2 linked regions of the Nothobranchius furzeri genome follow. The main gene of each other region encodes a partner of the protein of the gene in region 2 in a complex. Links are inferred from orthologs where the notes say so. Each region holds a gene or a part of one and is shown on either strand. Other genes may lie near its edges.

Region 1 (3,651 bases), on a different chromosome or scaffold from region 2:
AATAATTTTTACTTCTACTACGGTGTAGTGTTGGATGCATGCCATAGAGCTCTATGCTGCCCCCTACAGTTTGGGAGAATATTGGCTCACCGCAGAGACGAGCCGCATGAACCATAAACGCTGCAAGTTGTGAAGCGCGTTCCATCCGCGAGCCGCATCACCAAGCGGAAAGTAAATGCGTCAAGCATAAACACACCGATGTTTGTAAGGTGGTCTTTAAGTTCTCTGGGTTGGGTCCCTGAAATCTGCAGAGAGGAGGGTGGATCTCAGATGTTTGCATGTTTTTGTGAGCTTGTGTGGAAGTTTCTTCTCACATCCTCTGTTTTACCTTCTGCTCTCAGGGCTTGAAGCCGCAGAGCTTCAGGAATCCCTACGACATCCCTCGGAGCCACCTCCTCGACCAGCTTAGCCGAATGAGGAGAAACCTGCTCAACACCAGCGTCTGCACTCTAAGAGGACAGGACTCTGGTAAGAAGGCTCTCTGCACCTCACTTATTTTTGCTATTTTCTGAAAAACAAAAAGTCACTAGCGATCGTTGATGCCACGTGTCCAGACCAGCTCCACAGTGTGCCAATCGCCCAGATGGGAAACTACCAAGACTTCCTCAAAGCTGCCCCCCAGCCACTTCGAGATGCAGATCCTGAGCAGCCCAAACGTTTGCACACGTTCGGAAACCCCTTTAAACTGGACAAGAAGGTACGTCCTGCCTATTCGCCTGGAATAAAGTGGATGTTTGGATCCAGAAAGGTGATGCTGACCCGATTTTTCACACAGGGAATGATGATCGATGAGGCGGACGAGTTTGTGACCGGTCCTCAGAACAAAGGCAAGCGACCTGGAGACAACAACATCAACATGCCGGGTGGGGGTCCAAAGAGACGTCGCTGCATGTCCCCTCTGCTGCGTCTGGGCCGGGCCTACACCCCTCCGGTATCGCCCTCTGCCAGTCCCCGGCACTCATCAGGTAGGACCAGAATCTACCCTGACGACTTCCAGAAGTAGACCACAGAAATTAAACCATCTCTCCAATCCCTTGCTTTATAGAAACGGACATAAATGACGGTTCTCCTGACCTGATCATTAACCACCTAAACCAGAACCACTATGGGTCAGACAGCAGCTCTGACTTGGAGATGGACCTCCACACAGGACCAGCAGACCTTCAGGAGAACCACACTTCTGATGAGGCTCAGGTCCTTCGGCACATGGACGACGATGAGGAGGAGGAGGAGAGCGGGCAGCAGCGTGCTGGCGAGCTGCTGCCCAGCCTCGAGGGAGGGGTGGAAAGGGCTCTGATAGAGGACCCGCCCCCCCGCTTCCTCTCACCATCCGCCCTGAAGAAGCACATTCACACCGAGACGACAAAAGTCAACAACGAGCTGAGGACACTCATCACCAAGGAGATCAGGAAACCTGGCAGACGTGTGTAGACCAGAGACTTCTGTTAATCTGATGTTTGAGTCACTTCCTGGGAGATTAAATAATCCTGAAACTCTGACCTGTACAAGCTGATGTTTGTTCCTTCTGCTTGGTTTGTTTCAGACTACGAGAAGATATTTCTTCTCCTGAAGCAAATCCAGGGAACTCTGGACACGCGGCTCATCTTCCTCCAAAACATCATCAAAGAGGCGGCCAGGTACTCGGAATTCTTATTTGCTGTGATTTTATGAGCTACGAGCAAAAAGATTGGGGGGGGGGGTGTTACAGAAGGTGAGTTCAGAACATCGAGGCTTTCCTGATAAATCTCTGCTTGACATGGCGCACCTGTTTACTTTGTCGGCTCCACGAACGATGCTCGGGTGGATTCAGTCCTCTCTAATTCAAGCGAGGCGCGGCAAGCGAGGCTCACGCACTTCCGGAGGCAGCCCCCGTTAATCGATGCTAGATAAATGATAAAGGGAAAGGCTGAGCCTCGTTCTTCTCCCAGACTGAGAGATATTTATTCATGCCTACGAGGACCACAAAGTTATCAGAACTAAAATAGAGACCGCCAGTTGCCTGATTATAACCGTGTAGCTGGCGCTATTTAGTTAGCATTCAGTGTTTACGTGTTTCCATGGCAATGCCGGAAGTCCGCTTCAGCTCTGTTTCTCTGCATATTTTATTTAAAAAGCAAGTCAACCCCTACCAGAGTCTAACTCCACTCCCACTTCCTGTTTGAAAAATGCAACAAATGCTGTTGCCTAGCAGACCGAGAGGGTGGAGCCGCTAACAAATACACACACACACACACACGACATTGTGACATCATGATGTACCATCTAACATCATAGTGCACCTCTTAGCCAATAGCGACGGCAGATTTAAATTCAAATGCAGTGCAGAATTTTTACCTGACGACGGTGCATCGCTGATAGTTTTAGGCAGAATATTTAAATTTTAACTGCGATGCACTAAAGTGCAAAACCATTGACTACACGTGTGTGCAGCACGATTAGACATGCATTTATATAGTTTATTGGAAAAAAATGTTGATTTGGAGTAACTTGCTCTTTAAAGAGCAAGTTACTCCAAATCAACATTTTTTTTGCTGATAAACTATATAAATGAGTGTGATTGTGCTGCACACACGTGTAGTCAATGGTTTTGCTCTTTAGTGCATCGCAGTTAAAATTTAAATATTCTGCCTAAAACTATCAGCGATGCACCGTCGTCAGGTAAAAACAAGAATGTGGTCATAGACACTGATAAATGATGCTTTAGTTTATGTAAAATAAATAAATGATTTTCATAATTGGAGTCACAGAGCAGGACTGAAGAGCTAACCGCTAGTCGAAGCAGCGTTTAATGACTCCAGTCATGGAGGTTCGTGAATCTGCAAACCGTCACACATTTTCCATCTTTAAGGACTCCTCCTACATGTTTGTCCCTCCCTCCTACGGAGCTGGAGCGCGTCAGACGCTAAAGCCTAGATTATACTTCTCTGTCTGCGTTGTTATGGAGATACGAAACACGCGGGCTCTCTGGCAAGCTCGCAGAGGATGACGTATTTAATGTCTATGGCCATCGCCTCGTCAAAAAATAAAACGATATCTAGCTGCAAACATGGAACAGATTGAACAACGCGTCGTGGAAAAGTCAGAATATATGAAAGTTTATTCACCCGTGACTGAAGGAGGACTTTTGTTTTTCCTCTCTTCAAAGGTTCAAGAAACGCGTTCTGATTGAGCAGCTGGAGAACTTCCTTGAGGAAATCCACAACAGATCTAATAACATGAACCACGTGGACTCGCTCTGAGACCGGCTGAGCCCAAACCCGCCCCCGTCCCCCGTAAAGCCCAAACACGAAGTTCCCTTGAGGAGACAGAATCCAGCCCAGGAGCCACGGCCACTTCAGCCAGCCCGCCAACATTTAAGGTGGCCGCGTTGGTCCAGGCTGACCCATCACCAAAGGCAGATCTGACCCTGGAGGATGGTTCAGATGGCTGCGAGAATGAACAGGAAGTGGTGACTGCTGCGGGTGAAGCCTATGCAACCAGATGTTCTGTTGGACGTTTGACTGCAGCTGCTGCCTGAGCCTCTCCTCGCTAACTCACGTGGTCACAGTTTTCTTTTACTTAAACGAGTATCTCCTAAACGGAGAGAGGACGAAACTCTCGTGGAGAGGACCAGAGGGCAGCTGCAGCCTGAAAACTTTAGTTTTTGTGACC
Region 2 (3,651 bases):
CATTCTGGTTATGGTCTGTCTGACACAACCTTGTATCTGGTCTTTGTAGCACTAATGAAGAGGAAGCCAAAGTCCTACTCAGCAGCTCTGATGGACCAAATCCCCATTAAGTACCTGGTGACCCAGGCCCAGGGGCTGCAGCAGGAGCTGGGGGGTGAGGTTAAAACTCTCACCCACATTAGTTGGTTCAAATGAGAAAGAAGAACCTAAATCTGAATAACGTTGTGTGGTTTCAGGTTTGCACTCAGCTCTACTAAGACTACTTGCCACTAACTACCCCCACCTGTGTCTGGTGGAAGACTGGGTGTGTGAGGAGGAGGTGACTGGTACCTTGCCTCTGCTGAGGAGGATGATGCTTCCCTTCATTGCCCGCAGATACACCCAGAACCAGCTTCACCAGGGTATGACGGAAACAGCATCAGCTCTGGTTCAATGAGCTGTTTCCACTGGTTGTGACTCATTTTAGACACTAAAGAATTGGATATAAAGCTACTGATATTCAGAGAAGATGAGTCCAGATCTGTTCTGTTTTCTCTAATCCAGCTTTCCAGAAGTTGCCCTCCAGCAGTCCCAGGCTCATGCGGATCCTGGAGTATCTAACGCTGCTCTCACCTGGAGACCTCATCCCCTATGCTGAGGCTCTCACAGCCAGCATGTCCCTGCTTCTGCAGCCCGCTGTGCCTCGGCGCCTGATCCAGACCCTCAACAAGCTGTGGATGGGCCTCAACACGGTGATGCCCCGCAGGTATGTGCTCTGGATACAAGGAGATGTTTCTTAGTGCAGCGGCCCGAGGATTTTCAATAAATACATTTGTAACCCCTTGACAAAAGCTTGCGCTAATCTGATTTATAACCAGTAGATGGAATAACTAGTAACCAAAACTAAGTTCAACAAAGGAGTCAATAACCAGTATGGGCAAAAAGTCAACTGATAAGAGGGGTTTTCATTCAAAGTGTATTTTGAATATTCACAAGGTGAAACAGTTTACATCAAATAAGCAGTGATATATTTACAAAAAACATTATAACCAATAGACCGTCCATCAGTTCCTTGAAGAGTTTCAGACTTCATCTGCATGAACAAGGGCTCGTTTCCTTGTGACATCAATCCAGGGTTCCACAGTTCAATTGGTTCAAGGGTGGCTCGCCATCCAAGGAAAATTCAAGACGGTGATTGGGATGAACTGAATGTAAAGGGAAAAGGAAAATAAATCCACACAAAAACCTGACCTAAAACAAAAGCCAGAAAGGGAAATTATTAATTCTACATATTTACATATGTACAAAATATCACAAATCATTCAGGTTCTCCACAGAATTTCCAGGAGGTCCACATTCACATTTTTCTTAATTACGTAATTATGTTTGTTTCACTCAATTTGATTAATTGCTCAGCTGAGCTTCCCCACACAGGAAACAAGTGCTTAGGTCAAATATCTTTGGACAGGACTTATGTGAAAACAATAAACCACATTCTGTCCAACATCTCAAGACACTAAAAATATTCCAAGCAACACTGGATCATGCAGCTAATCAGTGTAGATAAATGAATATGTTTACTCACCGATGAGTAGAAACACATACACAAACTTTGGCCTCGATTAGGCAAAAAGGGAGGATCTATGACGGTAAGTATAACATTAGAAAATAAAACAAGTAAATTGGCTCCATCGGTAACTGAGGAAGATGAAAGTGCAGCTTACCAACACTCCTGTAACTTTGCCAAAGTGCTACCCTTTTAAAATGGTACGGTTCAGTTTCTTCCTCTCAGAACAGTGAATCAACTGCACCCTCAGGTAAGCTGAATTGAAGGTTTTAGCAAGCACTGAAGACTGGCAGAGAAGACCAAACCCTGAAGCAACAGTGACTGTGATTCATCACTCCACCTGGAGCAACAACAGCTGGCTCATTAGCAGGTCAGCATTCCTCTTAAAGGGGAAAGTCCACAAACTGGGGAGCTCCCTCCAGATGCGTCAATCACATGGGTTACACTCTCCCCCCTTTTCCACAGGTCCGTCCTCTAACTCAAACCAGGTAACATATAGCTCTTGTCCTGCAGGATGGCCGTAAAGGCTGAACTCAGGCCGTGGAGCAGATTTTGGACACTGTCCAGCGGGGGTTTCCCAGGGAGGGAGTACTGTAGCCGTTCTGGTGGGTTGCCTGGAACGAGTGGATCAACGAAGTGTCGGTTCAATTTCAGGACTGTCATGGTCTGCAGGCACTATCAGATCCCGTTCCAAGGTGGCAATAACTGGTTCATAAGTTTTAATTGGAGAGGACCTTTTATCTGATGTAGAATTCTCAAGGGATGCAGTTTCCATGACAACTCCTCCCTGACCCTCCTCCACTGCATCTGTTTCCACTGGAAACTCCCCTGTCACCAGCTCCTTTACAGCAGTCCCGGGATCTGATAACACGGTGGGTAAAGGACAAGGCACAGTCAATGGGACATCAGGGGAGACAGATGGTTGAACAGGGACAACAATGACGGTGGTGAATCGCTGTGGCTCCATTGGAGCAGAAATAGGTATCAAGACCCCTTGATCATCCAACTCATTGACTGTAGTCTCAGGATTAGCTGAAGAAGAAGAGACAATGGTAGCCCTCCTGCCCTCCCTCACAGCTTGTGATGGCTCAGGTGGAAACAGGAACCCACAGGGAAGGAGGAGGTCTCTGTGCAGAGTCCTGAGTGGGGTAGCTTTACTTTCAGGCTTTACAGTATACACAGGTAAGTTGCTGGCTTTCTTTACCACAATGTACACCGTCGACTCCCACTTGTCTGCTAGCTTTTGTCGTCCCCTTTTCCGAACGTTCTTCACCAGAACTCTGTCTCCCTCATTCAGTTCTCGGGGTGTAACATGTTGGTTGAATCTGTTACTATCCATCGATTTTTGAACATTGTTCTTGGCCAACCGGTATCCTTCCTCCAAATGGGCTTTCAGCTCCTGGATGTATTGGGAGTGATTTACAGGACCGTTACCCATCGGCAACCCAAACGCCAGATCCACAGGGAGTCTAGGCTGGCAGCCAAACATGAGTTCATAAGGGGAATAACCGGTGGCATCGTTTCTAGTGCAGTTATAGGCATGTCCCAGGGGTTTGACATACCCTTTCCAATGGTGTTTTTGTTCATCATTCAAAGTCCCAAGCATGTCTAGTAAGGTCCTGTTAAAACGCTCTACTGGGTTTCCTCTGGGATGATATGGAGTAGTATGAGTTTTGTGAATACCCACCATCTGACATAGATCTTTAATAACCTTGGTTTCAAAGTCTGGGCCTTGGTCGCTTTGAAGATTTCAGGGAACCCATAGTGGACCAAGAAATTATCCCATAGACATTTAGCCTTGTTCTTGCCTTTTGGTTCGGTGTTGGCACAGCAATGGCGTACTTGGCGACATGGTCAGTCATAACTTGAATATCTTTGGTACGCCCATCTGGTTCTAATGACAAGAAATCCATGCAGATCAGTTCTAATGGCCTGAATGTATGGATGTTAACAAAGGGGAAAGTCCACTAACTGAGGAGCTTCCTCCAGGTGCGTCAGTCACATGGGTTACACATTTCTGGAGTCAAAAACAATGGCCTCAGTCTTAGTCTAAGTTGGCTGCCAACCACCCCTTCACATCAGAGAGTCAATCTGTGAGCAATAAA

The links. Proteins that work in one complex are often made in the same cells at the same time.
Region 1: the proteins of ints2 (region 2) and ints6 are in contact, whole or in part, in a cryo-EM structure (PDB 8RBZ), measured with the Homo sapiens proteins. The link is inferred for Nothobranchius furzeri from reciprocal best matches to the Homo sapiens genes INTS2 and INTS6. Residues at the interface, in NP_065799.2 of Homo sapiens: Ile855, Asp856, Pro857, Leu858, His895, Arg923, Glu925, Leu926, Lys927, Ala929, Leu930, Ala932, Ala933, Gln934, Ser936, Ala937, Gln940, Ile941, Glu944, Asn1010, Lys1013, Leu1014, Phe1017, Gln1018, Gly1019, Tyr1020, Pro1021, Ile1046, Ala1047, Gln1048; in NP_036273.1 of Homo sapiens: Ile484, Val486, Arg487, Ser488, Arg489, Phe527, Gln528, Val529, Ala530, Leu531, Leu532, Asn533, Phe541, Arg542, Asn543, Ala544, Tyr545, Ile547, Arg549, Leu552, Leu553, Leu556, Met559, Arg560, Asn562, Leu563, Leu564, Lys565.

What each region holds. Positions count from the first base shown.
Region 1 is NC_091754.1:31,110,499-31,114,149, forward strand, and holds the end of ints6 (integrator complex subunit 6), read left to right. Parts: intron 1-341; coding exon 342-468; intron 469-554; coding exon 555-697; intron 698-775; coding exon 776-965; intron 966-1,045; coding exon 1,046-1,423; intron 1,424-1,543; coding exon 1,544-1,637; intron 1,638-3,145; coding exon 3,146-3,239; 3' UTR 3,240-3,453; downstream 3,454-3,651. UniProt on the Homo sapiens protein: Component of the integrator complex, a multiprotein complex that terminates RNA polymerase II (Pol II) transcription in the promoter-proximal region of genes.
Region 2 is NC_091750.1:42,354,396-42,358,046, reverse strand, and holds part of ints2 (integrator complex subunit 2), read left to right. Parts: intron 1-49; coding exon 50-154; intron 155-236; coding exon 237-401; intron 402-543; coding exon 544-745; intron 746-3,651. UniProt on the Homo sapiens protein: Component of the integrator complex, a multiprotein complex that terminates RNA polymerase II (Pol II) transcription in the promoter-proximal region of genes.